3 linked regions of the Diceros bicornis minor genome follow. The protein of the gene in region 2 interacts with the protein of the main gene of each other region in a biochemical or structural test. Links are inferred from orthologs where the notes say so. Each region holds a gene or a part of one and is shown on either strand. Other genes may lie near its edges.

Region 1 (10,354 bases), on a different chromosome or scaffold from region 2:
GAAAAATATGGTCATCTGTGCTAGCATACCCCGGGGAATAGAATCACAGATCAGATCGTTTATGGCTTCTCATAAGACCTTATACTTTTGCACAGTATACACTTCAGAAAGCCTTGTTAAAAAGCTAGATTACTTCTATAACAAGTGTGTAAAAGTTATAATGGACCTTAAAATAGCAATATCTGAGATATATATCTTCTGCTTTTAAAAAAACATGCCCAACTTTGGGCAATCTACAGTTCCCATTTTAGATTAGACTTGATGTATTTTGCTTTACTTTCATCCTAGAAGTTCCAAAATAATGCAATAAAGTAACAGTTGATGACTTCCATATTCATTATTACATATATAGTTAGCCAGTTATTTGCCTACAAAAAGCTTATTTATCAAGTATCTGATTGTAACCAATTCTCATTCAGAATAGGTCAAATTGTAGATACAAATTATTCTAAATCTAAAATGTCACAATGAAAATACAAACTAGGGACCAATTATCTGTTATCATAATAATAATACAAATAATTACTCTTCAATCAACGTTAGTTATTGTTTCTCCTTTTTACTCCTAAAAACCACTTTAGAGTAAAATAACTATATATTTTGTGTAAACTTACTGACAAGGATGTTCCAATAGGTAAGAAATAAGTTTCCCTTTTTCTTAATACTGTCTTCTGCCTGCTTTTCAGTGGAGGTAGTAATGAGAAACAAATAGACCGAAGGGGAAACATAAAACGAAAAAGAGAAGGAAAGATAAAATCCTATATCTAAGGTATTCAAATTGTAGAAATTGGGATGCCCAGAGTCTGCTTTCTCTTCTTCCTATTTATAGAGAAGGAAAGATAAAGAGAGAGGTGCCTGATGAAAAGAGCAAGAGACAGCAAATCCCCCTACCTGAAAATATCTCCTTCACATATTTTAATAATTTCCCAGAAATATCAGTGGTTTAATGACCTTAAAAAAATGTTAAATAATTCTTGGGAAGACAATTTATGGTGCCTTACATTACTAGATCCACAAATAACAAAGACAAAGTCGCTGTCTATAAAGAAGTTATGATCTACTAGGACCCAGAAGATATATATGCAAATAACTATAATACAAAGCAAAGGTGGTACAATAGAACTTACTTCATGTGAGGATAGGGGCTAGAGAAAGTATTACCAGACTTGGGGAAAATTATGCATGTTTCAAGGAAGAGGTGAGTCTTGAAGGATGATTGGGGAATTCCAATGAAGCTGATGGAAAGCATACAGGGAGAGCATGTTTGGGGAACATGCCCAGTTTGGATGAGAACAGCTGGAGATAGAACTGAAAAGACAGAACAGGGAAGGACCATAAAAAGTAGTAAATGTCAGCAACAGCATTATATTTTTATGAATAAACAGAATAAGAATAAATAGAATCTGAATAACAGAAAACAGAATAACAGAATCTGAATAAATGATAGATATTATTCAGTAGACAAAGGGGAATGTCATGATCACAGTTGCACTTTGGTAAATATTTAACAAATATCTATAATGTCTTAGTGATATAAAGGTGAATAGGACTAGGTGCTCTTAATCTTTCAGGGTGTGCCAGTCCTGGTTCTGTTCGTCTTCAAATCTATTCTTCCTCTTTCCCCTGCTCTGCACTGTATGACAGGAAACCTGACCCCAAGCAAGCAATGTTTCACGTCAGCTGGCTTCTGGCTGAGTTCAATCAATGGGAAGCACCGGTGGGAGACTGGAGGGCAGCTGGAAGAAGCCACGTTTTTCCCTCCCATTCCTTCTCTGCCTTGGTAGAATCTCTTCTACAACTACTGCTCCTTCACCAGACAACTCTACCTTCTATCTTCCACACAGTGAGCCCGGCCTCTGGGTTGCTTCGTCTCGCACTGTCCTCCTAATTATCACAGTGGCTTCTTGCTTTGCTACCCTCTGAGTTGTCTCATGTAAGCGGCTTGTCTTCTTAGCTTTTCTATCACCAGTGTAACTAATTCCCTCATTAAATCCCTCCATGTTAAATACTCAGATTGTTTTGTTTTTCTGAATGGACACTGAATCAACACAGAAAGGAACAAACCTATTTAGGAATCTAAAGAAAATTCTGGATCTTTGACCCATAAAAATGACTCACTTGCACATAAACCTTTATAGATAGTTTTGGGGGCTCCCAGAACTCTCAAAGCCTGTCCATTAATCCCAGATTAAGAATACTGAATAGGACACAAAGGTGAGTAAGTTTCAGTTTGTGAAGATGAAAAAGTTCTAGAGGTGGTTGATCGTGATGGCTACAGAACAACGTGAACGTACTTAATGCCATAGAACTGTACTCTTAAAAATGACTAAAATGGGGGCTGGACCGGTGGCACAGTGGTTAAGTTTGCGCAGTCCGCTTCTGGCAGCCCGGGGTTCACAGGTTCGGATCCTGGGCGCAGACCTACGCACTGCTTATCAAGCCATGCTGTGGCAGGTGTCCCACATAAAGTAGGGGAAGATGAGCATGGATGTTAGCCCAGGGCCAATCTTCCTCAGCAAAAAAGAGGATTGGCAACAGGTGTTAGCTCAGGGCTAATCTTCCTCACACACAAAAAATGACTAAAATGGTTAAATTTTGTTTATGTATATTTTACCAAAAAAAAGTAAGTAAACACACAGCTACAATAAAACACAGTAAGGGTATAACAGAAGTAATGTACAATGCTACAGGAGCATTTAATGAGAAAGTAATAACTGTACCTGCTGGAAAAAGTTTCAGAGATTACGTCTGAACCTTGAATACAAGTGTACTAAGAGAGGGAGAAAAACACTGCATGCAGAGGGAACAGAATGCATTAAGAATATTTGGAGAAACTGCAAGTAGTTTGGTATGCCTGGAACACAAGGCGGATGTTGAGAAGTTGAGATCGAGCTGGAGAGGCAGGTAGGATCAGTTCCACAGAGCACCTTGTGGGACATACTGATAAAAAACAAACAGATGGCCAGAGGCAATAAACAACGCATTGATATATTCTGGCCTGCACAATATTTAAAGAAATTCCAGTAAAGGCTGATTAAGAGGAGTAGTGAGGTGCAAAAGTCAGTGCAGTATGTTGAAGAATGAAAGGTAGGTGAGGAAGAAGAGTACTAAATAGAGTTCATTGTTATTTGAATAAATTTGACTTGTGAAAGGGTGACATAGAGCACGAGACAGAATGTGAGGTAAGGTCTAGGAAAGTATTTTGGGGGGTGTGTGTGTGTGAAAGGGCAAAAAACCTAATTATATGAACTCTAAGGGGAGAACTTACTTCTTTATTCTCAGCATTTGGGACAGTGTATGGAACATACTAGGCTCCCAAAGATTTTCTGAAAGAACATTATAAAGAGAAGGCGCCAACAACAAGAGAGGGGATGAAGATGGGGAGGGGGTACTGACAGAAGAATCATGAGCAAATAATAAAATTAATATTTTAAGCCACTAAGTTTCTCTATGTACTGATATGAACTTCAAGGTATATATCGCTAACTGAAAAAAATAAGACGTGAGTATGAGATTTGCTTTTTTTGTATTATATATTCTTTTGCACAACTTGAAATTTTTGGTTAAGTGCACAATTGTTTCAACTTTTAGAATAGGAGGTGTAATGTGACTGCTTTAGGCAACTTTTTGTAACAGTAAACAAGATAAATTGCAAGACTATATGAGAAGCCATGACAAAAGTCCAAAAGAGAAGTAATGGGAGGTATATTGCTAGGATTGGTGACAATGACCAATGAAATGTGAATGACAAAGAAGAACTTTAGGATAAGAAAAAATGACTCTGGAGTTTTCACCCATCAAAAAAAGAGTAGGAAGTCAAGTGAAGCAGCTGCTTTGTGGAGAATAAATTCACAAGTCGGTGTGAATTATTCCAGTTAGAAACTCATACTCTTTCTTAAGACCAGTGTTGTTAACTGAGGGTGATTTTGCCCTCCACGGAACATACTGGCAATATGTGGAGACATTTTCATTGTCACAACCAGGCAGGGGTGCGGCGAGGAGTGGGGTCCTACTGGCATCTATCGTATATAGGGCAGGGATGCTGCTAAACATCCCACAATGCACAGCACAGCTTCCCCATATTAAATAATTACCTGGCCCAAAATGTCAACACTGCTGAAGGTGAGAAACCTTGTTGAAGACTATGGTTATTAAAACAACTGGATTACCAAACTACCAAAGCTCAAAAATTCTTAAGTAAACAATATGCATGGAGTAAAAAATAAAGTATGTCAATGTTATCATGAACATTGTGAAAGTCTACTTTCAACTGGTTTCAATATAAGCCTAATAAACATAGAAATTACAAGATAGCCAGCTTTTTCTCAGATACAGATGTAGGTTAACAGTTGATATTCAGTTTTGATAAAGTGGGCAAAACATTAACCAAACATTAACAAAATGTTAGTTTAAACTTAAGTCATTAGTTTCTCCAAATATGGGTAGTGGAACCATTACTCTAATATTTCCTGCAAAAGGTCCTTATCAAGAGCCCGTGCACAAACACCATTTTTTTGGGACAGGGCTGAATATTTAAAAAAGAAACAAGACAAACAGGTTTTTCTAACGATAAAATAATGTAGTAACGGCTGTGTATACTACAGGCAGTTTCTTCACAGATGTTTACCATTTACTTTCAGGGGCATCGCATACGATGTCTGCAGACCACTGGCTCAGGTTTTGAGCTTTATGTGGCTCTCGTTCCCAGCAGTACAATCCTCTCTATTCTTTCAGGGGACAAACAACAAAACCCGTTTCCCACACAGACAATACACTCTGACAAGTGGCCCGTGGAACTAACCCTCCTCAAATGTAGGAAAAACTAACTAGGACTAGAAAACGTTCAAATGGAAGGCATTTCCTCAGTGAAATTTCTTGCTAACCAAAAGAATAAGAATGGCTGCTGTTTTAAAATACGCAACTGGCATTTCAAACCTCTACACTGGACGACTAATGGCGGGGGGAGGAGGATGGAGAGGGAAGGGCACCCCGCTTCGTCCCAAATTGGTTGTTCTAAGGGCGAGTTATGAGAAGGGCGTCAGGAAGGTCTTTCTACAAAGCTGGGTGGCTGCGGAAGTCCTTATTTTTCCTAATTTGGTCCCAGCTCTGACAAGGGAAAGTGCGCCCACGGTGCAAAAATACGCAGTCCGTCCGTCACGTAGACAACCCTCCTGCAGGGGTCCCAATTAAGTGTGCAGGCCTGACTTTCCCTCGGAATCCGGGCCTCAGGTGTTCTCTTCCCTCGCCACGCAGCCTCCGAGGAGAGACTATCCCCCCCACCTCCCCACAAAGAGGCTCAAACTGCCCGAGCCCCCTGCTAAAGGAGAATCACCGCCAGTCTGAACTTGTCGGCGGGGAGGCAAAACCCCGAAGCTTCCCCACCCAGGGAAAACCTTTGGCCCCAAAGGTCCCTTCGTCCTGCTTATCCTGGCCCAATATCCCTCCCTTCCGCGTCCGCGCTTACCCAATACGAGCCGGGCTACGTCTGAAGGTAGCAACATGATCGAAGCCGCAGAAGGAACCACAGTAAGAGACAAGACTCAGGTAAAAGGCAACACAGCGACAGCTCCTGCGCCGCATCTCCCGGTTCCAGTGGCGGCACTGAACCCGCGGCAAAGTGTCCCGCCTCTTTCGCTCCACGCCAGCCAATCACTTCCGCACGACAAAGAAAGGCGCCGAAATGAAACCCGCCTCCGTTCGCCTTGGGACTGACGTCATTTCCGTCCTCATATTTGGAGGGGTGGGGCTGAAGGGGGCGAGGAGGTGGGGCGCAAGCGCAGAAGCAGGAGCCAGAGGGCGAGCCCCAAACGCAAGGTCGCTCGCCATTGGTGGGCAAGGCGCAGGCGCGTTTCCTTAGACGAGCCGAATGTTTTGGGGCAGCGAGTGTTTGGAGCGGACTGGCGCGTGATGCTTGGCGCGCATGGGCAGACGCGCCGCATGGTCTGCCTTACTTCTTGCTCCCGAGTCGGAAGCTGCGCGGTCAAGCCAGGTTTGAACCGGAAGCGGGAATAGTGCGTGGACGCCTGGATCGAGCTGCTGTTGCCGCGGGGGACGGTGAGTGGGGCGGGGATTTAGGCTGCAGCCACCGCCGCCCCCAGAGATTACAATTTGGCCACCAGAGACCAGCGATAGGGGCGCGAAAGCCACGCAGTGGCTTCTGCGTGGGGGAATTCAATCGTATCCGAGCCGTTCTGCCCTAGTCCCCAGTCACCCAATCTCATGCGCTCCTCCAGAGCGGCCCTTTACTCCTCTCCAAACCACGTCTTTGCCGGCCTCCTGTCCTCATCGCTTTCTCCCGCCCTCTCTCCGAGCCCTTAGCGGACTTGGCCATGAACCTTCTTCTAAATGCCCTGAATTGAACCCCCCCTGCGCGTCCCCTTTCCCTGTCACTTTAGAGTCCAGATTTAACTAGATGACGTGACTAATCATCCTTTTTTCTCTCTCTCATAATTAGTAGTTTTAATCAGCGAGCATTTGTTGAGGCTTAAACTACCGTCGCGTGGTTAAGAGCGTGGGCTCTGGAAACACACTGCTGGAGTTCGAAAGGTGACTGTCTGTTATGTGACCTCGCCGTACGGATGTGATAGCCTTGCGTGTGGTCAGAAGTCAGGAGCGTTCGCTGCTGTTTTTACCAGGTACAGATAAGTAAAAAGACTGTTACAACTCAGGGTGATAATGTGATGGAAGAGTACTGTGATGGTAGAGGAGTGAATGAGGTTCTGTGGAAATTGAGCCTGGAAGAATCAATTTAGTTCGCAGTGGGCCCTCGCAGTGTTAAATTGCTCTGGAGGATGGTAGGAGCCTTCTAGACAAGGGAAAATGCATGTAAAGGCACAAAGTGTAGAAGGTTCCTGAAGCTCAAGAGTGAGGTTTGGCATTGAATAAAATAGATTTGGGTATTTTCAACATGTTGAAGTCATAGGAATGGATGAGATCACACTGGGAGAACATAGAGTGAGAAGTAAGGAGACAAGGATGTTCTTTCAGGTGTGGGTGGAAGAAAAACCATCAAAAGAGACTCATGAAACCATCAGAAAAGGGGGCCGCCCCGTGGCTTAGCAGTTAAGTGCGCGCGCTCCGCTACTGGCGCCCCGGGTTCGGACCCCTGGCGCGCAGGGTCGCACTGCTTCTCCGGCCATGCTGAGGCCGCGTTCCACATACAGCAACTAGAAGGATGTGCAACTATGACATACCACTATCTACTGGGGCTTTGGGGGAAAAAAGGAGGAGGATTGGCAATGGGTGTTAGCTCAGAGCCGGTCTTCCTCAGCAAAAATGGAGGAGGATTAGCATGGATGTTAGCTCAGGGCTGATCTTCCTCACAGAAAAAAAAAAAACAAACCATCAGAAAGGGAGGGAATAATGATAATTGCTAACATTTATTGAGCATTTGCTGTGTTCCAGGCACTGTGTTAAACATGTACATGAATCCATAGATAACTCTTTGAGGTAGATTCTAGTGTTGTTTTTCATCATTGAGAAAACTGAGGTTTAAAAAGATTAACTAACTTGCCCAAAGTTATACAGCTTGTAAGTGGCAGGGCCAGGATTTGAACCAGTACAATCTGGCTACAGAGCCCACACTCTTACCACTAGTAAAGAGTGGCATGCCAAGGGCAGAATTATATCCAGGAAGATGGGATGTAGGCATCCTGGTCAGATTCTACAAAGGGATCGACTTAGTTGAAATCTAAAAAAGAACATTGAATTTGTCAATTCAGAAGCTGTTACTTAGCAAATATGTATTGTTTCAGTTGCATGTTGGCAGTGGAACCTAGTTAGTTCTGGATTCATGTATTAATTGAATTCAGCTTTATCTGGTGACACTTACTCTAGCTGACTACTCTCTAGTTCTTTGGTCTTCTCTCAGTTCCTCCAATATACCATGCACTTTTCCATCTTAGGACCCTCTGGCTATGCTATTCTACTTCCGTAAAATGTTGGTCCTCTAGCTCTTTCTGTAATTGGCACCAGTTCATTCAGATCTTGGCTTTATTGTAACCTCCTCTGAGATGTGTTCTCAGTTTATCAAAAGTGGTCCTCTCCGTTGTTATTATATATTTGTTTCCTTTGAGTCATATATCACAATTTGGAGTTATACATTGATTTATCACTATACTTGCTTATTGTCACTCTCCCTCACTAGTTATGACTCCACGAGGTTAGGATTTGTGTCTATTTAGTTCATTATATGTTTAGCTATCCCTAACATAGTACCTCAAACACAGTAGTTGCCTAGTAAATATTGTTGCATGTATCAGTGAATGAATATCTCCTGTTTATATAGATAATACTGAACTGTTGTGTTTTCTTGAAAGCAATCAATGTTTGAGAAATGGAAGGAGGAAAAAACAAGTTCAGAAAAGCCACAGCTTAAAAAAAAAAAAGTTTAAGGCTGCCTCTTCCTGCAAGTATCACATGCTCAGTAAACATGCATTTTTTCGCATTACAAATAACGTCTTTAGTATATTTAGGAATAAAGATGCCTGCTTTTATGGTGCTTTGGATATTGCTAAGGTGTTTTCATTGGCTAGAATTCCAATTTTATTTTCCTTATTGACTCAATCAAGAGGGCTTTAAACTAAGATTAAGCAAGAAGGGGGAAGAGTCTTAGATAAAACCATAAGGAGTGGAAAAATAAAAATGACAGTACATGTACTCCAGAAGTATACAATCAAATGAAAAAAATTATCAAATACATAACAACCTGTAATCTACAGCAGAGTAAAGGAGGTTTTAATAGGGATAAAGGAGTCAGAACAACCAATGAATACAAATGGACAAGAGAATTAGAGCTATCTGCCAATGAAATAGATAGTTTGCTCTCACTGAGAGTGAGGGATTTCTTCTTTTGTAGGAAGATTGGACATGATCTTTCAGTTCCTCCCAATTTTAAGATTCTGTGAGATTAAACAAGGGCAGAGAAACATACTTGATCTTGAAAGATTGAGTAGAATTTGTGTGGATGGATGGGAAAAGGACTTTCCCCACCATTTTTCCTCTTGAGATATGTGCTCGTGTAGGTATAATAAACATTTATATGTACATTTTTTCTTTGTTTATAAACTAATAAAAATGAAGCTTCTTTGTAAAAAGGTGCAGAAATACTAAAACAAAATGCTTTTCTTGTAAGATTTTTTTTTTAAATTAGGGTTTGATCATGTCAGAAAACCTAACAGCAGGAGGGCTACTGTGATGGCATTAAGGCATAGTAAAATATAGTTGACCTTTGACATTTGCAAGGGATGTCGTTATAGCATATAATTTCCTTCATTTCCTTTTAAAACAGGAATATCATTTTCCTCCTAGTTTTATGTATTGAATGAGAACCGTAAAGCCAGTTGAGTGCTAGGCAAGACTTACTAGCTCTGATAACCTCCTACATATCCATTCCAAAGCATAAGCAATTTAAACTTTTGCCTCAGCAAACTGGCAAGTCACTAAATTTAAGAAAGGATGCTTTTAAATAGTTCAGCCAGTCAGTGTTAAATCCTTAAGTGCTCTTTTCCGTATTCTTTGTCTGACGGTCCTCTATTCATCTTTTATGTTTCAATTTAAATGTCATGTTTCATAGAAGAAGTCTCAACAATAAAGTAAATTATACGTTTCGTATTTTTATTCTGCTGCTGCACATGAAGCACACATTTTCGTGTTGAAGTTTTGTTATGTTCTAGGAAAATATCATTTAAATATGGAAATGTTAAGAAAAATCATTGTGCCTTTGATCACAATATGATTAGTTGTACAGTTAGATCTAACTATGTATTAATACCAGTCTGAAATAATTTTATATCTATATGTTTTTTTACAGGCAATGATGTGTTTTCTGAAATTCTAAACCATGAGTCTAGCACTTCATGATCTTCTTATGTGCTGCCGACAACTAGAACATGATAGAGCTACAGAACGAAGGGTAGTAAATTACTTAAATTTAATCTTTCCTTGAAACAAGTGTGTGATTGGTAACCCATTGTTATGTTCTTTTTTTAATTTTCAGAAAGAGGTTGAGAAATTCAAGCGCCTGATTAGGGATCCTGAAAACATTAAACATTTAGATCGGCATTCAGATGCCAAACAAGGGAAATATTTGAATTGGGATGCTGTGTTTAGGTATCCATTCTAATTTTTTTACTGTGTTTTTCTCTTTCATTTTTATGTCTGTATATTTTATGTCTCTATATTATTTTTTTGTATATGTAGGGCTTATTTATCTTTGCTCCCTGTATACGGGTTGTGCCTTGCATTTGAAGTTGGTGCTTAATATTTATCTGAAACATAATTTTTAAAGGATGTTCATATAGAAAAAGTTAACATTTTTAAATTGTTTGCTCAGTAAAATGTCTTAGACATATTT
Region 2 (10,675 bases):
GTGTTAAAAGAGACCATGTATAAATAAGGGACAAAAAATGAATTAAATAGTTAACTAGAAGTGGAGACATTTGGGTCATTTACTTTTTTTTTTTTTTTTTTGCTCTTATAAATAGAGAGATGTTAAGGATTTCAACTGCTTCCTGATCTAGAATATTTACTTATGGATATCTATTACATTAAGGTTATAGGAAATCTTACCAAACAAGAAGGAAATCTATTATATACCTCCTCATTTTAATTGCAAAAGCAACCAAGAAAATAAATCCGAACAGTATGAACTACCTAAGACTGAAGACAGGCAAGTTGGAAATTCATTCAACAAATATATATTGAGCACCTATCATATGTCAGGGCCTGGTTTCAAGTGTTTGAGATACATCAGTGAACAAAACAAAGACTGCTTTTTAAAACTTGTAGTTTAGCAGGAGAGCCAGTCAACAATAAACATAAAAAGTAGTAAAATAGATGGAATGTTTGAAGGTAATAAGCACATAGAAAAAAATATTAACAGGGTAAGGGGATTCCAGAAAAGTGGGATGTGTATGGGGGTGGTGGAGGTGGGTGTCAAGTTGCAATTTTAAATAGTATGGTCAAGGCCTCAGTGAGAAAGTGACATTTCAGCAAAGACTTGAAGGTGAGTGAGTTAGCTCTCTTGATATTTAGGAAAGGAGTATTTTAAGCACTGAAACAGCCCCAAGGTGCTAAGGCAGAAGTGTGGCTGGTGTGTGCCTGGGGAAGAAGTAGGGAGACATCTTAAGAAGCAATTGCAGTAATCCAGGTGAGAGACAAAGGTACTGTGGACCTGGCTCACTTGCAGTGGAAGTGGTAAGTAGTCAGTTTGTGGATATATTCTGAAGGCACAGTCAATAAAATTTCCTAAAGGAATAGATGTGGGGTGTGAGAGAAAGGAAGGCATTAAGAATCATGCCAAGATTTTACCCTCAACAATTAAGACGGAAAAAGCTGCAGGTGCAGATGTGAGGAATATCGGTTCAGACTTGGACAGAGTGAGTTTGAGAGCATTGGGGCATCTCAGATCCTCTTGGCCCCTTGCCTGTGGGGCCTTTGGCCACTTATTCTGTTCCTATTGCCATGGGCAACCAATCTCAGGCAGTAACCATGCAACAATACTTTGCCTCATGCTCAGGCCACACATCTCACATGAGGGTCTGTTTGGTGCCCACACAAAAGGGAAGTATGTGCTGGGGAGGAGGGCAGTGTTAACATCCCACTGACTGAACCTTGACCTCCTCTCCTGACTCACTTCTTTTGCCTATCCTCATTTCCCTGGGATTGTACTCCCTAATAAGATAACAGCACAAAAGCTTTTGCCTCAGATTCTAGGAACCAGAACAACATCCAAGAGGAGGTGTGAGTAGGTAGTTGTTTAAATGAGTCTGGAGTTTGGGAGACCGTTTTGGGGAGAAGATATAATTTTGAGAGTTGTCAGCATAACCATTACATTTACAATCATAAGACTGGATGAGAGCACAAAGGAGTGAACAAAAATGTCAAAAAGAGAAGAGGATGAAGATTTTAGTACCTTTGAGAGCAGAAACAATGTTTTACTCCCTGCTATATCCCCAGTTTCTAAAAGAGTACATGACACAAAGTAGGTGCTTGACAGATAATTTTAGAATAAATGAAATAGGTCACCATGGCCTTGGGGTTAGGGAGGAAAGCAAATTAAGTCATGAGAGGTGATGAACTAGAACAGGCAGGGTTCATGGAACTTCAGTTCGTAGTGAGGTAAAAATTAGGTTCAACAGCGGAAGCAAGAGAGAAAAATAACAGGAAAAGGAAGGTGTGGTTAGAGAAAAGCTCTCAGATACCACTTTCTCCTTGAAGCCTTTTCTAATCATCTCATGAGATCTTCCCCCTTTTCTGGACCTCTCTCAAGGCACTTACCTATCTATCTTATCTTATGCCAAGTTATAGCCAAGTGCTCTTCTGTACTCTCATCTCCCCAATATTGACCACATTTTCCAACTGAAAAATTGAGTCATAGATGGAGGTAGCTTCCAAGTCCCAGAGACAAAAAATGGATACTGAAAGTTTGACATTTCTAGTTCATTTCTATGGTTTATGGAGATACTAGAGCAGGATACATGAAATTGCGAGACTAGATTTCAAATCCAAAGTATATCTAAAATGGTTAGTAAAATAACTTGCACTTAAAGAATGGATGATTGAATGAATGAACAAAGTTAGGTGAGAACGAGGCAAGGAGAGCAGAAGTCAAGGAGAACACATAATTTAATAACTGAAGCCCACTGGTCTGAGAGTAGGGCACGAGTGAATAGGGGAAGTGGGCCTGCAGTCAGAAAGCACCCACGAAGTTAGCAAAGTAACTAAGACATGAAGAGACAGAGCCTACATGAAGGTCAGTGTGAACAGGAGAATATGAGGAAATTTTAAAATAAAAAATTACTGTATTTGGTGGGTCGTAAATATAGGCTATGGGTAAATAATTCCAAAATTTGGGTATCATGTATAGGGGCAGGGTAAGAAGAGCAAAGACGATAAACTCAATTCTGAAAATGTATTTGACACAAGGGTGAGATATGCAAGCAAAAGCTAGTAAGAGGCACCACTTTAGTTAACACTCAGTACATGCCAAACACTGTTCCAAGCACACTTGCCAGGAATGATCTCATCTAATTACCACAATAACACTATGATGCAGGTGCTATTACTGTCTTTATTTTACAGATAGGAACCCTGAGGCACAAGAGTGAATAATTTGCCCAAAGTCACATAGCTAGAAAGTGGCTGAGCCAGGATTTGAACCCAAAAATACTAAGAAACTTTGCCCGGAACCACACAGATATTCCTTATTAATTCAATAAATATTTAACAAACACCACTACATTCTAAACATTGTGCTAGGGAGGGGAGGGGAGGTGAAAGCTGGTGGTGAACAAGACAGACGTGGTTCCTACCTGCACGGACCTCACAAGGACGGTAAACGAATAATTACAAGTGTGATGAATCAGAAAGGAAAGTGGTAAGTTACAATTAGGTAGGAAAGTGGGTGACAGAAAAGAATTCCAGGGGAAGGGAATAGCATGTGTAAATACCTTGAGGTGAGAGCCTACGATAGAGAAAAAAAGAGAGAAAAGAGCCTGGAAAAAATAAAAAGACGAATATGGCTGGAGTGCAGACAGCTAGGGGGACAGCTGGGGAGGCTGGGGAGAATGACAAGCCCAGACGGTGGAGGGCCTGGTCTCCAAGATAAGGAGCTTAGACTGTGTCCAGCAAGCCAAGGGAAGCCACTGAAGGAGTTCAAGCAGGGTAGTGACTTGATCGGATTTGTATTTTTAAAAAATTACTCTGGCTGCAGTACACAACTGGACTGGAATGAGCCACGAGCAGTTCTGTAGAACCTGCATGGCAGTTACCGTAGGACTTCACCAAGACATGAAGGTGGCTTCGAAGACAGCGTGATGAAAAAGTGGCCAAAAGATGGGAGAGAGGCCACAAACGCATCGTTTTTTAGGGCCAACAGGTCTCGGTGTTTCTGAGGTGCGTTTGCGGTGCCTCAGGCTTCTGGCTTGACCCGAGCAGATGGAGAGGACGCCCTTTCCCGTCACGGGCCACGGGAGGGGGCTTCTGGAGGGAACAGGACGCCCCAGTCATCCAAATGCGAGCGCAGCCAAGGCGGTTAGAACTCGAGTCCAGAGTTCAAGAGCAAGACGCAGGCCTGAGTTATGGGCGGACGGTCTCGGCAGGGGGTCTCCGGAGCCACCAGAGAGGACAAGCCCACCCAGGAGAGCGTACCTCGTGGGACTCAAGCAGAGGCTGGCTCGGCTCGGCAGGATTCCACACTTAAGAACTGAGGGGGGGCGGTGAGGAGGGAGGAGGGGAGCGGTGACAGGGGCGCCGTGAGGAGAGGGGGCAGTGAGGGGCGGGGGTGGCGCGGTGAGGAGGGAGGTGAGCTGTGACGGGGGCGCCATGGGGGGCGGCGGTGAGGGGAAGGGGGCGGGGTGAGGAGGGAGGTGAGCGGTGACCCGGGCACCGTGGGGGGCGAGGAGAGGGGAAGGGGGCGGGGTGAGGAGGGAGGTGAGCGGTGACCGGGGCGCCGTGTGGGGGGGGGGCCGGTGAGGGGAAGGAGGCGGGGTGAGGGGAAGGGGGCGGGGTGAGGAGGGAGGTGAGCTGTGACGGGGGCGCCCTTGGGGGGGGCGGGGTGAGGGAGGTGAGTGGTGACCGGGGCGCCGTGGAGGGGGGGCGGAGAGGGGAAGGGGGCGGGGTGAGGGGAAGGGGGCGGGGTGAGGGGAAGGGGGCGGGGTGAGGAGGGAGGTGAGTGGTGACCGGGGCGCCGTGTGGGGGGGGGCGGTGAGGGGAAGGAGGCGGGGTGAGGGGAAGGGGGCGGGGTGAGGAGGGAGGTGAGTGGTGACCCGGGCGCCGTGGGGGGGCGGCGGTGAGGGGGAAGGGGGCGGGGTCAGGAGGGAGGTGAGCTGTGACGGGGGCGCCCTTGGGGGGGCGGTGAGGGGAAGGGGGCGGGGTGAGGAGGGTGGTGAGTGGTGACCCGGGCGCCGTGGGGGGCGGCGGTGAGGGGAAGGAGGCGGGGTTAGGAGGGAGGTGAGTGGTGACCCGGGCGCCGTGTGTGGGGGGGGCGGTGAGGGGAAGGGGGCGGGGTGAGGAGGGAGGTGAGTGGTGACCGGGGCGCCGTGTGTGGGGGGGGCGGTGAGGGGAAGGGGGCGGGGTGAGGGTGGTGAGTGGTGACCGGGGCGCCGTGGGGGGGGGGGCGGAGAGGGGAAGGGGGCGGGGTGAGGAGGGAGGTGAGTGGTGACCGGGGCGCCGTGTGTGTGGGGGGGGCGGTGAGGGGAAGGGGGCGGGGTGAGGGTGGTGAGTGGTGACCCGGGCGCCGTGGGGGGCGAGGAGAGGGGGGCGCGGTGAGGGGAGGAGAGCGGTGAGGGGAGAGGGGCGCGGGGAGGGGGGCCGGTGAGGAGAAGGGAGGACGCGGTGAGGGGGCGCCGTGAAGAGAGCAGAGGGGACCACCGCCGCGGGACCTGCGTGGGGAGAGCGCGGGCGACGCCTGAGGGGGCCGGCCGCCGGGATCCCCGCAGGTGCTCGGGGCGGGCGGCCCACGGAGGGGACCCTCCCACCCGGCCGCGCCCGCCGCCCTCCCGCCAGCCTGCGCCCCCGCGCCCCCGCAGCCGCTCACCGCCGCGGGGGCTTTCCGTCCAGCCGCCGGCGCCCCCGGGAATTCCCCGCGGGCGGCGCGCGCCCCACTCCCTCCGTCACACTTCCGCCGGCGGGCAGCGCCCTCCGAGCGCCGCCGCGGCGCTCAGAGACCGCGCCTCCCCTCCCCGCCTCCCTCCCGCCGCGCCCGAGGGCGCCCGAAGACGCCCGAAGGCCTTCGGAAGCCCCGCCTCCGGCGCGCGGGGCGGGGCCGCCCGAGCTTCTCCGGGCGCGCTCGGCTGTTTCCGGGCGCGGCCGCTGCGCACTCGGCACTGGGCGGCGCTGGCTGCTCCCTGGCTGCGGCTCCTCAGTCGGCGGCGGCGGCGGCTGCCTGTGGCCCGGCGGCTGGGAGAAGCCGAGTGCTGGTGAGTGACGCGGCGGAGGTGTAGTTTGACGCGGTGTGTTACGTGGGGGAGAGAATAAAACTCCAGCGAGATCCGGGCGGCGAACGAAAGCAGTGACGGAGGCGCTCGTACCGCCGGTAAGAGGAGCAGGAGGCGGAGGCAGGCGCCGGCCGCCGGGCCCGCGCCGCCCGCTCGGCCTCGCTCGCAGGAGCCGCCGCAAAGATGGAGCGCGGGCGGCCGCGCCGCCGCCGAACAAAGAGTAATGGCGGCCGGGCAGCGGCGGCCGGGCACGGCGGCGGCTCTGCCCGCAGCCAGCGGCGGCGCTCGGCGGGGGGCGGGCGGGCGCGGGCCTGCTTCCCGCGGCGCGGAGCGGAGCCCCGAGCCCCGAGCCCCGCGCCGCCTGCCCGGCCGCCGCGGAGCGCGGACCCTTTGTGCGCGGCCCGGCCCGCCCGCCGCCCCGGGACGGCCGGCGCCCCGTCCCAGCCGGTGGTCGCGGGCTCGCCCTCGGGAGGAGGCCGAGGAGGCTCGTCCGCGCAGCGTTAGGAGACTGTCGGAGCTCGTAAAGGGAAGCTGCGCCTGCGGACGGTTTCGCTTTAGCCCTGTCGGCGAGGCGGTGGCCGCCGCGTCCCGTCCGAGGCGGCGCGGGAGCGCTGTCGCCCGGCGCCGCCGCCGCCGCGCCGGCGGGTCCGCCTCGGCCCCGCGCCGGGCCGTGCCCGCGGCCCCCGCTCCGGGCGCACACCGCCAGCGCTGGCTCCGGAGACGGCCGTTTGAGGTCGTCCCTGTGGGTCACACGCGGTAGGTAGCCCCGGCCCGAGACCGACAGCAGTCTGACCCGCAAGGCGCGTTTTCTCTGCCTGTTGGGAGCAAGGCACATCGGAAACTCAGTGACACGTGCAAGATGAAAAGACAGTTTTCAAAGGACCTGGGATATGACCCAGTAAAGTTTGTCTTCCCTTCTCCAGAAGTTAGAATTTCATCTGCCTGAGCTCGCGGCAGTTCTGTCCTCTGAAGCTTTAGCATAAAAGATACTTTTGGTTGCCAGCTATTGGAATCTTTTACACTCACTGCACGCTTCGTGATTGGAAAGTGAAAGCAAAACGGTTATTTTAGGTGATGCGAAAGGTAAACAGGTTACTTGTTTTAAACATACTAACGTATCACAGTATGATAAAATTGTGATTGATACATAACAAAGTTTCTTGTTAGGAATAAATATTGGTTGGTAACAGATGCACTGTTTTCTGTTTTCTCTGTATCCAAATCACTTTTGCATAATCTACTTCACTGTATTGCAAGTCTTTAAAAAGCCAAATTAGCAATTTGTCATTGCTGAGAAACTTAATTAAGATGTAATAAAGAGAATGTTTCCATAAGGATTGGGAAGATGGGTTTATTTCCAAACACTGAGGAAATTATAGTATTGACGATGCTCTGTTGACTTTTTTTCCTTAAGAAAGATTCTGTGCAAGCCAGCATCAGTTGACTAGAATGTTTTTTCCCCTTAGAGAGAATATATGGCAATGACGCTTCCTTTGTGAAATTAAAAAAAAAAAATTCTGATGGGTTCTTTCTTCAGTTTTGTCCAAAAGATCTTTTAAATTTTATCTTATTTATAAATTCATAATCTGTAATTCTTAGCAATTCCAGGTGAACCTTTTCAAACTTTTAAATTAATTAACATTTGAATATTCACTTGGTGCATGGTACTAAATTATACTTCTGCCCCTTCCCAGGGATCAGTAAAAATTACAGTTAAATCTGCTTGAACCTTTTTTTTCTTTTTATGGACACATGTATTCACAAAGCAAATGAATCTTTGACACAAATTGACCAAAAAATGTTAAAAGGTCACTTCTTGTGGAATTTAAAACTCTAGTGGTACCCATTTTGAATTTTTTTGTTTTTTTCACATACGAGGCTAAGGAACCTTAGAAACCTGATCCGTAAAATGGTACCTCCCTTTTTCTGTTTTCTGAAATTCGTTTTCTTGGTTAGATCTGATTAATAGAAATTCATTTCTTCATAGAGAAGCAGCTGTATTTTGCCTCTCATTGTAAGAGGTAGCATTTTGTTTTGTGGGGTATAATGTGGTTATAGTAAAACCAAGTACGTATCCCCCGCTTCGCCTCATTTAAAAAATCTTTTTTCTTTTTTTCCACAGTAGAAAAAAACTATTTACTTGTAACTTAATGCTTACAATGTATCACTGAAATTTATAATTTCATTTATTCCATAAATGTCTCATCTGATATGGTTATATAAACTTGTTTATAGCCAGCCTGTGACATAGATAGTCTTGTAAGCATCTTGATATAGTGTCACTTCCAGTGATGGCTTCTTTATTGAATAGTGAGAGCTGAAATCTGAATTTAAGGATCTAGTAGATAGTCAGAGAATGGAAAAAATGCAGAACTTTTTTTTTTCTTACTCATGTGTGAGCTCATCTCTACTGCAGTATCACTTGAGACAACAGTTTGTGGTAATTCAGGTATTGAGTTAGCGCTTACTGTGACGGAATGTAGTTAGTGGAAAGAGCATTGGGTTTGGAATCACAGACCTGGGTTTGAATCCTACTGTTGCCATTACTGTCATATGCCTGCCCTCAAGGAATTTTGTTACCTACGGGAAATTTCTTAATCTTTCTCAGCCTTAGTTTCCTTATATGTTAAATTAGAATAATTTTAAACCACCTACTTTATAGGATTGTGACATAATTATAAAGCAGCTCCTTAGGGACTCAATGATAGCTGTTCATTTTTAAGCTTTATTTTAACTTCCTAGCCATGGAGCCTTGGGCAAGTTTCTTCATACCTCACTTTCCTTGGTCATAAATGTACAATAACTACCTCATAGAAATGTGGGGATTAAATAAGTTAATACATATTTAATGCCAGGCATTTCATAAGTGCTCAACAAATGTTTCTTATTATTTTTTAAATTGTTCATCATCATTATTATTACCAAGTTTAAAAGACTAGGCAGAAGCTGCAGCGAATCCCAAGATGAATTACCCTGTCTTATCTGTACCTTCCAGGAACTTTTAGGGACACAGTGACTAATAAGGCAGAACATGTGTCATAAGAAAGCAATCAAAGGAAAAAGAGATCACACCTGGTGAAGTAATGGAAGAATATTTCCAATTTTATTTCTTAATTAATTTGTTCACATAGTCCATAATTCAAAACATATAAAATATAGCAAAAAGTCGTGTGTACCCCCACCCCCAGTCACTCGTGTTACAATTTCTTATTTGTCCTTTCAGAGGTATCTATCCATACACAAGCAAATATGTATGTACTCTCCTCCCCACTTTTTATACAAATGCTAGTATACCATATATACTGTCTTATGTTTTGCTTTTTTTCCACTTAATATGGCTGAGCAGTTGATTTGCATCAGTACATAAAGAGCTTCTTCTTTTTTTTTAGTTATGAGGCATTTCATCATATGGGTATACCTGTATTTATTAACCAGTTAGTGAGCAGATTTTATATTTAGGTCTTATATGACCTTTTAAACTAAGGGGAGCTGTCATTATGTCTTTATTTCTTTTGGTGAAAGACATTTCATTTGAATGAGGTATACCAGTTTGTGACAGGAAGTTGTTATTTGAACTGTGTCATTACCTTTTCAGCTCCAGTTTTTAAAAGTTTTTTGTAACTTGATCGAAATGTTCATGAAGAGGCAAGTAAGCTATGTAAGTGTTAATTCTTAAAGTGAATTTAACTCTCTTGTTGAGGTTCTAATAACCCTGAACAGACTACTTCCTTCTATTCTTATCTCAGCCAAAATAGTCTCTATGGTTCTTTCTCTCTAAATGAGAAAGAACACCACATGGAGTCCAGTCCTTTTTTTTTTAAGCAGACTATTCTCATATGATATTATCATCCAGTAATGCTGATTAGTGTACTTAGCTTTCTCCCTTCGTTTAATTATTTTTTACATACTCATCACCTTTTTCTTTGATGATTTTCTAATATTTCTTAGTGTAATTATCAATGTTTTATTTTTAATAACTGAATAGTGAGTTTCACCAATACAGTTGTCTACTGAGACTTTACTGCTTAGATGACTCTTCTTTTCTTTTTTATTTTTCATTGTGGAAGTCCTTGGTCAGCCAGTTGGACCAAGTAATATTCATTTCGACTAGAATGCAAAACAAGTTTCAGTACCTCTCCTTTTTTTTCTTTTTTGGCTCTTCTAAGCACCATTTAACTATAGTGCATTTTAAATATACCTGCTGTTAATGTATTTATCTTTAAAATACACATGCTGTTAGTTTTTTAAGTTGATTAAACTTAGAAGGAAAATGATAACTAATAGTCCAGCTGCAGGGACACAAATAAGTCCCTTATCTTTCAGAAAACAAATCACTAAATGAAGCTGCTCTGGTACATCTCATTCTTTGTATACTCAAGTTGACAGTTATGTATGCTAAGGTTTTTAATGTAAGAATATTGTCTTATTTTGATGATTTACTAGTATTTTATATAAAATATTAATATGTGCTATTTTTACCTGCTCAATGACTAAAATGTATACAAAACACTTATCTTTACAGATTTAGGGGGTGGAGGTAGATAACTGAAATCTGAAAAGGCTGAAAATTTTCCTTCTGGAATATATCTGTGGGCTACCAGGGAATTAAGTGATTTCTCACAGTATCATGAAATCAGTAAATTGTCTTTTGGCGTGGAGGTGAAAAGATCATGAGCTAAAGCAGCAAACCGACGCTGTGAAAATCGCCAATTTAATACATATGCTAACTTAGTCATTATAGAAGAGGTTAGCCCTGGTCAACTTTCTGAGGTTGTAAGAAGAAAGTATGGTTTTAAACTTATTCTACATTATCAAATCAGTAAATGTAGGTTTTTGGGACATATTTGAAAGTTGGATGAGAATTTTGTTTGTTAGTGGTGTCCAGTGGGATTCCGACTCCTAGCAACCTTGTGGACAGCAGAGCAGAACGCTGCCTGATCTGTTTGCACCATCCTCTCACCTTCCGGCGCTGTATATAGAGAGAGACTATATTCCTGCTATTCACAGGGTTTTCATGGCCATAAGTGGGTGGCCAGGTCCTTCTTTCTAGTCTGTCTTAGTCTGGATCTCCGCTGAAACCTGTCCACCATGGGTGACCCTGCTGGT
Region 3 (10,121 bases), on a different chromosome or scaffold from region 2:
CCAGCTCCTGGACTCCATCCTGTTCTCTCAGGCTGGCAGTTGATTCCTGGCTGGGCCCCAGGGTCACTGATTTCAACCAGGTTGTTGCCCAGCTGCTAATCTCCAACCCCAAGGGGGAAGGTCAGTTGCTAGAGAAAGACGTTTAACTCTCCTGATTCATGCTTCCTAACGCCACCCAGCCCCCAGTGCTGGTCAGCAGTTATCCAGGCTGCCTCGCTGTATTTCTTCCCCACAGTGACTCTTCTGGACTGTTTCCACTATCCTCAAATCCCCAGGCCATCTCTTCCCATCTTCCCTATCACCCAGCACAGGGCTTGCGTCTCTGAAATAAACTCTTTGCTACATGTGTGCACATCTGAGTGGTTTCTAACTATCTGCAGGTGGCATGAGCTCATATGGCTTATTCCTGCTTTACTGAGATCGCACCCTCAGTTGGCTCTTCTTTTTATACCCACTCTTTAAATGTAGGTTTCCAATTCTCTCATTCTTTTTATTCATTTATTCAACAAATATTTACTGAAGGCCCACTTTGGGCTAGAGCCTATTCTAGATGCCAGGGATACGGAGATGAGATGACCAAGATACCCCCAAGTCTAACAAGCTGGTCCATGCCTGCCTCCAGCCCCTCCCCGCTCTCTCCAGCCACAATGCAGGACTTGGGGCCTCCTCCCATCAAAGGAAAACCTCTCAGAAGCTCAGGCTCCCAGCCCCGCCCACTTTTTCAGATTCTCTTCATTGGTTCTCCAACCCCTACCCAGTCCACCCATCCCATCACCATTCAAACATGTTCCAGTATTTCTCATCTTAAAAAACAATCGAATAGGGGCCGACCCGGTGGTGCAAGCAGTTAAGTGCATGTGCTCCGCTGCGGCGGCCCGGGGTTCGCTGGTTTGGATCCTGGGCGCGCACCGACGCACCACTTGGCAAGCCATGCTGTGGCAGCATCCCGTATAAAGTGGAGGAAGATAAGCACGGATGTTAGCCCAGGGCCAGCCTTCCTCAACAAAAAGAGGAGGATTGGCAGATGTTAGCTCAGGGCTCATCTTCCTCACACACACACACACACACACAAAACAATCGAATAGAAAATTACTGTTAGAATATCACAGTCTCATAACTGCTGTAGGCAGATCCACCAATGGATGCTAAAATTAGTGGGAGAAAGCTTAAGAAGAAACCAGATATTTGCATAGTCTAAAAGTATCTCACACGTCTTCCCAATATTTATTAATTACAATGGGAAAAATAATAATTTAAGAGTAGAGAAATCTGGCAAACACCACCTTAACCAAGTGTTCAAGGTTAACATCACAAGCAATAAGAATATAAACTTCTTCTACTCCTGGTATGATGAATTGATGAAGAGCACATCATCTCTGTGGTACTCTTGCCAAAAATGTGTAATTTCAATTTAATCATAAGAAAACATCAGACAAACCCAAATTGAAGGGCATTCTACAAAATACTTGACCAGTACTTTTCAAAAGAGTTAAGGTCATGGGAAGCAAGGAAAGACTAAGGAACTGCTACTGATTGGAGGAGACTACAGAGCCACGACAACTAAACCTAATGTAGGATCCTGGATTGGATCCCGGCACAGAGAAAGGACATGGCTGTGTTCCAATAAAACTTTATTTATGGACGTTGAAATTTACATTTCACATAATTTCCACATGTCACGGTATACTCTTCTTCTTTTAATTCTTTTCAACCATTTAAAAATATAAAAACCATTTTTATGGCAAAGTGGTGAAATCTGTAGAGTCTGTAGTTTATTTAAAAATTTTGTACCAATGTTAATTTCTCAGTTTTGACGATTGAACCATGGTATGTAACATATTAACATTAGGGCAATCTGATTAGAGGGTATGTGGAAACTCTATACTGTCTTTTGCAACTCTTCGGTGATTTAAAAACTATTTGAAAATAAAAAGTGAAAAACAAAAAAAAAATCTCTCCAGATCCTGGCAGCTAGCACCTTCTCTATTTTCCTTCAGAGGCAAACTCCTTGAAAAATATGTCCACATACACTGTTTCTACCCCTTCACCTGTCATTTGCTCTACCAAAACCACTTTGAATATTGTCACCAATGGCACCCAAGTTGGCAAATTCATGGGCTCTTTCCAGACCTCATCTTGTGTGACCTCTCAGGGCATGTGACACAGCTGAGCACTCCCTCCTTCTTGAAACACTTTGGCTTCCAAGATACAGAACCTTCCTGGTTTTCCTCCTACGCCTCTGGCTCCACCTTCTCATTCCAACGTCTCAATGTTGAAATTCCTTAGACTTCAGTCATGGGCTCCTCTTCTCTTCCTTCTGCACATTCTCTCCCCAGGTAAACTTATTCATACTTCTGGCCTCAAATACCATCTCTATGCCAAGGAGTCCTAAATTTATATCTCTATCGTACACCTCTCTGCAGAGCTCCAGACTCATATAGCCACATAGCTACCTAATATTGCCATTAGATGTCTCAAAATTAAACTCTTGATATTCTCTCTGATATGTGCTCTTCCTTTAACTCACCCCTCTCATTAGATGGTACCACCATCCTCTTCCATCCACTCCGTTGCTCATGCTAGAAACTTTGGTGTCATTTCACATATACCTTTTTCCCTCACCCACCAAATCTAATCCTTCATGAAGTCAAAAATATATAATAGAAGCATTCCATTTGTTTCCATATCTACTGCACCCACTACCATCTTTTGCCCAGACTACAGTGATAACCTCCTGACTGGTCTCCCTGTATCACCTCTCACTCCCTCCAGCCAGGTCTCCAAATACTAACCACAGTGACCTTTTGAAAATATTACCCCAATTGTATCATTCCCCTGTTTAAATTCCTCCTATTGCTTCTGACTTCACACAGAAAAACTCCAAAAATATTAATAAGGCGTACTACACACTTCATGCTTGGGTCTCTACCTGCCTCCCTCACCTCATCTCTTGCTTACTTACTGTATGATGGCCCCATTGGCTTTCTCTCAATCCTTAAAATACAACAGGCTCTTTGTCTGCCTCAGGTCTTTCTTTGCATCTGCATCTTCCTAGAATTTGCTCCCCGCAACAATTCACTTGTGAAATAGTTAGGGTAGGCTAGATTATGTTTTGGTAGCAAACAATCCCAACATCTCAGTAGCTGATGCCTAAAAAGATTTATTTATTGCTCACATCATGGTCTGATGCAGGTTAGGGTAGCTCTTCTTCCAGTGGGGACTCAGGGGTTCAGGGTTCTTCTAAATTATGGCATCTCCATATTCAAAATGTGGCCTTTGTAGTTGTTGTGGAAAGAGAAGAGAGTGTGAGTGAGTACGCATGGGGTTTTCTGACCAGGCCTGGAAATGGCACACATCATGTCTGCCCACATCCCATTGGCCAGATCACAGTTACATGACCCTCGCCTAACTGCAAAGGAGAAAAAAAATGTAGTTTTCCTGTGTGTCCAGGAAGAGGAAATGAGATTGGTAAGCATCAGGCCAGTCTCTGCCACATCCTCGTTAAAACCTATTTATCTTTAAAGAATCAGCTTAAATAACACTTCCTTATAAAGGCTTTCAAGTTCCTCCAACCTAAATTAGGCCCCCCAATACATTCTATTGTAGCATCCTATAATTTTCCTTTACAGCATGATCACATTGTAAAGTTTACACTTCTGTATGTGATTATTTAATATTTATTTCCATTCCTAGACTGTAGGCTCTGTGAGAGCGAGGACTGTATTTGTTTTGCTCCCACTGTCCCTCTAGCATCTATCATGGCACTTGGTGTATAATTGGTGTAAAAGGTGTCGAGTGAACAAATGAACAATTGCACACATTCTCCGGCTCCCATAGCATGCTTGCTTTCTCCTTGTGGAGGAGAAAGACAAGTAAGTAGGAAGTCCTGGTTTACTGGGATAGATGTTCCAGGCAGGTAAGCCCAGGGAGCTGAGGCAACCTGAAAGGGCTGCCCAGGCTTCTCAGCTTTCTTTTCCGTGGCGGTCTGATCCAGGAGTCTGCAAACTACGGCCTGCAGGCCAAATCTGGTTCACCGCCTGTTTTTTAAGAGCTAAGAATGATTTTTTTTTTTTTTTTTTTTTTTACTCACTAGATTACTGATTTATTACAACGGACATTAAAGGATACAAATCAACAGCCAGAGGAAGAGACACACAGGGCCAGGTCCGGGACAAAGGAGCTTCTGTCCCCATGCAGCTTGGGGCCCAGTCTGGTAGCACATGGAAGCATCTGGTTCCCCAATGTGGAAGCTCTCTGAACCTCCTCCTTTTGGTTGTTTTTTTTTTTTTTTTTTTAAATGGTTAAAAAGAATGAGAAGAAGAATATATCACGACATGTGAAAATTATGTGAAATTTAATTTCAATGTCCATAAATAAAGTTTTATTGGAACACAGCCGTATCCATTAGTTTACTTATTGTCCATGGCCGCTTTCCTGCTACCATAGCGGGGGTCGAGTAGTTGTGAAAGAGACCATGTGGCCCGCAAAGCCTAAAATATTTACTATTTGGCCCTTTACAGAAAAAGTTTGCTGACCTCTGATCTAATCCATGCTTAGTTTAAAAGCCTACTTCTATGTGAATTACGTCCAAGCATCCATCTTTAACCCTCTCCTTTTCCCATTCTCATGTCCGATTAGGCCCTCAAATTCCATTCTTGCAACAGTATTCTTCCTCCTTCTCACTAAAACCGAAGCTAACATCCAAGAGAACAGCTTTGATATTGTAACTATTCTTTGAGGCTTCCCATCCTGCACTCGTCTGCACTGCTTAGCAGCGTAGTCAAAGTTCTCCATTATCTTAACGCACTTTACTTTTTTAGCTGTTATCTCTTACATCATAGTTCCACCCAGCTTTATCAATCACTTAACCCACCCTTGCCTTCTCTACTTCCAGGCCTATGCTCACAGTTACCATCTCTGTAGGAAATGTCTGTTGCTATTTCCATCTTACCTATCCTTTAAGTTGGTTTTATCAAATGCCTCCTTGCCCTAAAAGCATTCCCCATCTCCTCTGCTTAGAATAATTATTGCCATCTGTGCGATTCTCTAACAGTTTGTACGACGGTTTTATTTCAAATTCTGCTTTATAGTTTCCTGTGTATATACACAGATTGTTTCTAATGTTCTGTTGAAAGCAGCTTAGGGACCAGGATTGTATTCTATTTTATTAATCTCTGTATCCTTTTGGTGCCTAGGATAAGACTTGTACAAAATGAAAATGCCTATCCTTTGCAGAAGTCTTCATCGAGTGCTAGGACTGTGAATCTTTGCAATGTCTAAGAACTATCTCTAAGCACAAACTCCACTTAACTTGCTTAGGGCTCACTAGGGCGAGTAACACCTTTTTAAGACAGCCTGTCTTCCAGCTGGTCACACACCTGTGGATCGCTGTCCGAGACCCTCAGGCACGTCTGCAAACACGTGAGTGAGAAGCGCTTTCCTCCACGCCCCGCCTCTGTCCACGGTGATTGGCGGACCAAACGTTCCAATCAGCCTTCCCCGCCTCTTTCAGCAGTATCCAATCACAGACCCGGAGGGCCTCCTGACTACTAGATACTGTTTACTAACAGATCGAAGCTGGGGAATAAGGGGTGTGACCGTTCTGGGAGGTCAGGGAAGGGAAGGGAAGGTCCAGACTGCGCGTGCACACTAGGGGAAATGGGCGGGGCAGAATCTCGGGTCTCACCAACCGCAGCGGTCGCGCTCCTCCCTCTCCTGCCTCCGCGCCAAGCAACAACAATTCGAGGAGCGGGGCGGGGCAGCTCGCGCAGCGTCAGAGCGGACTGCCCAATGGGAGCCGGCGTTGACAGATGCGCGCGCCCTGTGCCCAATAAGCGATGGCGGCTCGAATGGCTCTTCTACCTTGCTGGCTGTGGGCGGAGCGGCTTGACGGAGGAGGCGGCGGAGCAGGGGGCGGTTTGGTTGCGCGGTACTAGCGGTGCCCGCCGAAGGGGGTGGAGGCGGAGGAGCGAGCCGTGCGGCCAGAGCGGGAAAGAGACTCGTCTCAGCGTCCGAGTTGTGGAGCCGCCGCACCCCGGCTCCTGGGGCTGCAGCAGGAGCTGTGAGGGGCCGGGCGTCCGCTGTCTCCCGGGTCCCCTCGTAGGACCCCGCGGGATCCGAAAACGGAGAAGATGGAGGAGGAGGGTGGCAGCGGCGGCGGCGGCGCGGCGGGGACCAGCGGGGACGGCGGCGCCGGGGGAGAGCAGCTCCTCACTGTCAAGCACGAGCTGCGGACGGGTGAGCGACCCCGCCCTCTGCCGGCCGGGCCCGGCGCGGGGGCGCGCCCCGGGGGCACGCGGGTGCCGGCGCGGGTCGGGGGGCGCGGGGCCGGGCAGTGGGCGCGGGGGGGGCGGGGCCCGGCGGCCCGGGCGGGGGCCGGGGGTCCTGCAGGTGGGGGCGCGCCGGCGGGGAGCGGCCGAAAGTTTCCTGGAGCCCGGGAATGAGCGACGGGCGGGGGGCGCGGGGGCCCGCGGAGCAGTGTTGGCACTCGTCTCCGGGGATGTCTTCGCGCCCCCTTCCTGCACAGGTGACACATCTGTCACTGCATCCTGTCAGGGGTGAAAGGTGCGCCTTCCTCGGTGTGGGGTCAGCGACGCTTTGTTTTGGAGAGTGATTCCCTTCTCCACCCCTCTGCTTCCCTAGAGGTGGTCCCGGCGGGGGTTTGTGGAACTGTCCCCTAAGGTGCTTTGAGTCGTGTACGACATAACAGGGTGGCTGTCCCTCGGGCTTTTCATGAGTCCGATCTCCAGTGAGATAAAGAGGGATCGTAGGCTTCGGGGACTGAGTGCTTTTATTTGCAATTATTATGAAATGCTATACTTGGCCTTGAATTTCTTTCAAAGGTCTCTTGAGAAGACGGCTCTTTAAATGTAAAGCTCTAGGTAAAAGCGGCTGACTAGCCGGCTTCAGCGTTTACGTTCTGGTGTTTGAGATCACTAGAGTTGTCACAATCGTTATACTTATTGGATTACTTTATTCGTTGTGTGGGTCCAGGTTCTTCATTTTGGAAAATGCTTATTTGGACTCATCAGTACAGTTCGGGTTTATATTTGTGGAGCGCAGTCTCCTATTAGAGATACTTTTTCATTTTTGAACGGATAATACATTTTAATGAGTTGTTCATTATTACTATGAAATGTTCTCGTGAGCGTGTGTTAAGGTTTTTGACTCAGCTTCTTTGGCGTATTGGGATAGTCTTTTATTGTGTGGACACAGCTTATACAGCAGGTTTCAGATGTATGCCGAGTACACCTTGTTACTGTTTTGAACAGATTGTAAAGTTAGATCTGCCCTGGGTCTTTTAGTTTTTGTTGTTTCTAATGAGACTATGGTTAGCTTTCCACTGAGTGCCAGTGTGGTGACTGTAATTTAAAGGGGATATCAACTACATGCTTACTTATTTCAACATTTTTGAACACTGTCTTTTTCATCATTGTGAATTTGTTATGTATCTTGAGGCTCTTACTGCATAATCTTTTTGAGTTCCTAACATAACCTGTGTAGGTTTGGCTGGTTTGATTTTTCTATCTCAATTTAATAGACAACTGATGTTTTCAAAGGGCTGTTAAGTCATTTATTCAATAAACATTGATTCAGTATTAATATCTGATTTGTGCCAGGCTCAATGGCAGGTGCCTTCTGGTGTGGAGATTTTGAATTTCTTTTTCTTATCTTACATAACAAGTCACTGATTTATATATGTAGAATCGTGCTGTACAGCAAAAGCTACTTGAGATCATATGCTTCTCAGCTGTTGACCATGGTGCAACCAAGCAGCTTTTTGCTAAATGACCAAGGAGCAAACCTACTTGTTATTAGTAGTCAACCAACTACTCTGTTTCTGGGTTTTGCAAACAATGCTAGTTTTATAGAAAACAATGAATACTGCTTTATTTTCCCTTCTCTACTAACTGTGTGAATCATCAGCTTCAAGTTTGCACTTTAGAAATTTCTCTGATGGATGGTGAGATTATACTGAATTTATTAGTACTGTTAACTGTCAAAGGAAGTGAGCAGTCATTTTGATTTATTGCTGAACATTGGAACAACTGACCGGATATAGTGGTCAAAAACACTGTTAAAATATAACTTGCAAGATTCACTCATCTTCAGCCAACTGTGCTCCTCTTAGCACATGATGCTATAATAGGCACCAAAGTAATTTGATCTGATGTGGTCCCTTCTCAAAATGTGGACAAGCGTATAGTCATATCAAGTCAGCAGTTGGTGATTTCCCATTTGTGCCCAACACTGTATTCTGTGCCGTCGGATGGATGAAAAGGCAGTAAGAGTCACATGTAAAGACATGGAAATTGTTCCAGTTGTTTAGACCAAGTAGCATGGCATGCTTGGAAAACTTAATTCTAAATCCCAGCTCTGCCACCCAATAGCTATGTAGAGTTGGGCAAGCCGCTTCACTCTTTCAGACTTACTTCTCTCAAGTACAAAATGTGAGAATTTAATGAGACCCTGTTGGAAAAGTGCTAAGCAGGTTGCTTGGTGCGTACGTATTAGGCACTCAGGAGATGTTGGTTGAATGTAAATCTGAAAAATCACTTTATAACAGTATCTTTTCTTAAAGTGTGTGAATTAATCCAGTGTAACTTGGAAAACAAATCACTCATTTGGTGCTTAGGCTATGCCGCATTGCCAAGCTGTTGCCTCTCTCTGTACATGTCTTGCTTTCTGAAGTAGAGTGTAAACTCCCCACGATCCCTGCTGCTGCGTAGCAGCCTGTGCATAGCGCCTCAGTAACATTTAACACACCGTACTGTAACAATTGATTTACTAGTCTGTGCTAGACGGTAGGGTCCTTGAGGGCAGACACCATGTCCTTTGTCCATTTTTAGCCCCTGGCGTATGATAGGTACTCAAATATTTGTTGAATGACTTCACTGAATGGATGAAAATTCAGGACCAAGTCTAACAGTTTATTGTATTCCCAGTACCTTGGAGGTGTTAGGTGGTTGATGAATTGATGACAGTGACTATAAAAGCCAAACAATGAAGAGTAAAGGATTGATAAGATCAGTTAAACATAACATTTCTTGAACACTTTCTGTTTTCTAGGCTAGATGGTCCTGATGATACCAAAAATGAGCAAGAAAATGTCTTGCCATCTGATAGTAGGGGGGAGGCCATGTAAACCAGACATTAGAATATATTGCCATAAGTATAATAATAGAGGGATATTCAGAGTATAAAGGTAGCAAAGAAGAGGTTAGGACTTTGAGGTTTCAAGTAATCTAACTCTCTGTTGAGCAATAGCAACAAAAAAAGAGGGGGTTATTGGAAGAATACTGGGTTATCTTATCTGTGCATTTATTCCATAAATATTTCATTACCTCTTATGAGTGCTGTTTTAGATGCTGGGTTTCCAAGACAGATATGGTCTTCCCACTGGAAGGACAGGGTTTCATCAGGAATCACTGGAAGCAGAGGCTTATGTTGTCTGAACTCTCTCCATCTTGAATCTTTGCTTGTCTCTGTGTGATGGCTTCATTCTTCTCCACTGCTGTCCAGCTCTTTCCAAATGGGAAAGAACATCGTTTTGACAGACCCCAAGTTTTACATCTTACGGCTTCAGGTACTGGAGAAACACTGCCTTTTTCTGAGCTTTAGATATAAAAATCTCAGAAAAGAACATTATTGGCTTGGCTTTCGTGAGGTGCCCTCTTTCGGGTGATTCATGATTCTTTGGATCATGTTCCGCTAACATGACAGCTACGACAGTAAAGGTATTGATAGGGGTGAAACTAAACCCTTAGAAGAGGAAAGATTGCTGGGAAGACATTTCCTTAGATGTCCATCATTAGGAGAGAGCTTAACACTGAGGAACGGGTCAGCGAAGGGCTATCAGTTATCTATTGCTGTGTAACAAATTACCCCAAAACTTAGTGGCTTAAAGCAACATGATTTCTGTGGGTTGGGAACTTAGGGAGTTGCTTCACCTGATGTTTCTGACTCAAGGTCTCTCCTGAGGTTGTAGCCAAGGTGTTGGCCAGGTCTGCAGCCCCCTAAAGACTTGTCTGGGGCTGGAGGCTCCCCTTCTGAGACTGCTCACTCACATGTTGTTGGCAGGATGCTTCAGTTCCTTGCCATGTGGACTTCTCCATATGGCT

The links.
Region 1: of the proteins of CREB1 (region 2) and ATM, one has a biochemical effect on the other in vitro, tested with the Homo sapiens proteins (2 studies listed by BioGRID). The link is inferred for Diceros bicornis minor from reciprocal best matches to the Homo sapiens genes CREB1 and ATM.
Region 3: of the proteins of CREB1 (region 2) and RPS6KA5, one has a biochemical effect on the other in vitro, tested with the Homo sapiens proteins (3 studies listed by BioGRID, with this or other methods). The link is inferred for Diceros bicornis minor from reciprocal best matches to the Homo sapiens genes CREB1 and RPS6KA5.

The regions. Positions count from the first base shown.
Region 1 is NC_080746.1:27,548,111-27,558,464, reverse strand, and holds the start of ATM (serine-protein kinase ATM), read left to right. Parts: upstream 1-5,872; 5' UTR 5,873-6,054; intron 6,055-6,454; 5' UTR 6,455-6,635; intron 6,636-7,404; 5' UTR 7,405-7,449; intron 7,450-9,811; 5' UTR 9,812-9,841; coding exon 9,842-9,913; intron 9,914-9,997; coding exon 9,998-10,110; intron 10,111-10,354. Other genes in the region: protein NPAT, read right to left, coding at 5,465-5,501.
Region 2 is NC_080749.1:84,403,309-84,413,983, forward strand, and holds the start of CREB1 (cyclic AMP-responsive element-binding protein 1), read left to right. Parts: upstream 1-5,467; 5' UTR 5,468-5,551; intron 5,552-5,557; exon of another isoform or gene 5,558-5,667; intron 5,668-10,675.
Region 3 is NC_080763.1:37,090,917-37,101,037, reverse strand, and holds the start of RPS6KA5 (ribosomal protein S6 kinase alpha-5), read left to right. Parts: upstream 1-5,945; 5' UTR 5,946-6,131; coding exon 6,132-6,237; intron 6,238-6,538; exon of another isoform or gene 6,539-6,564; intron 6,565-10,121. UniProt on the Homo sapiens protein: Serine/threonine-protein kinase that is required for the mitogen or stress-induced phosphorylation of the transcription factors CREB1 and ATF1 and for the regulation of the transcription factors RELA, STAT3 and ETV1/ER81, and that contributes to gene activation by histone phosphorylation and functions in the regulation of inflammatory genes.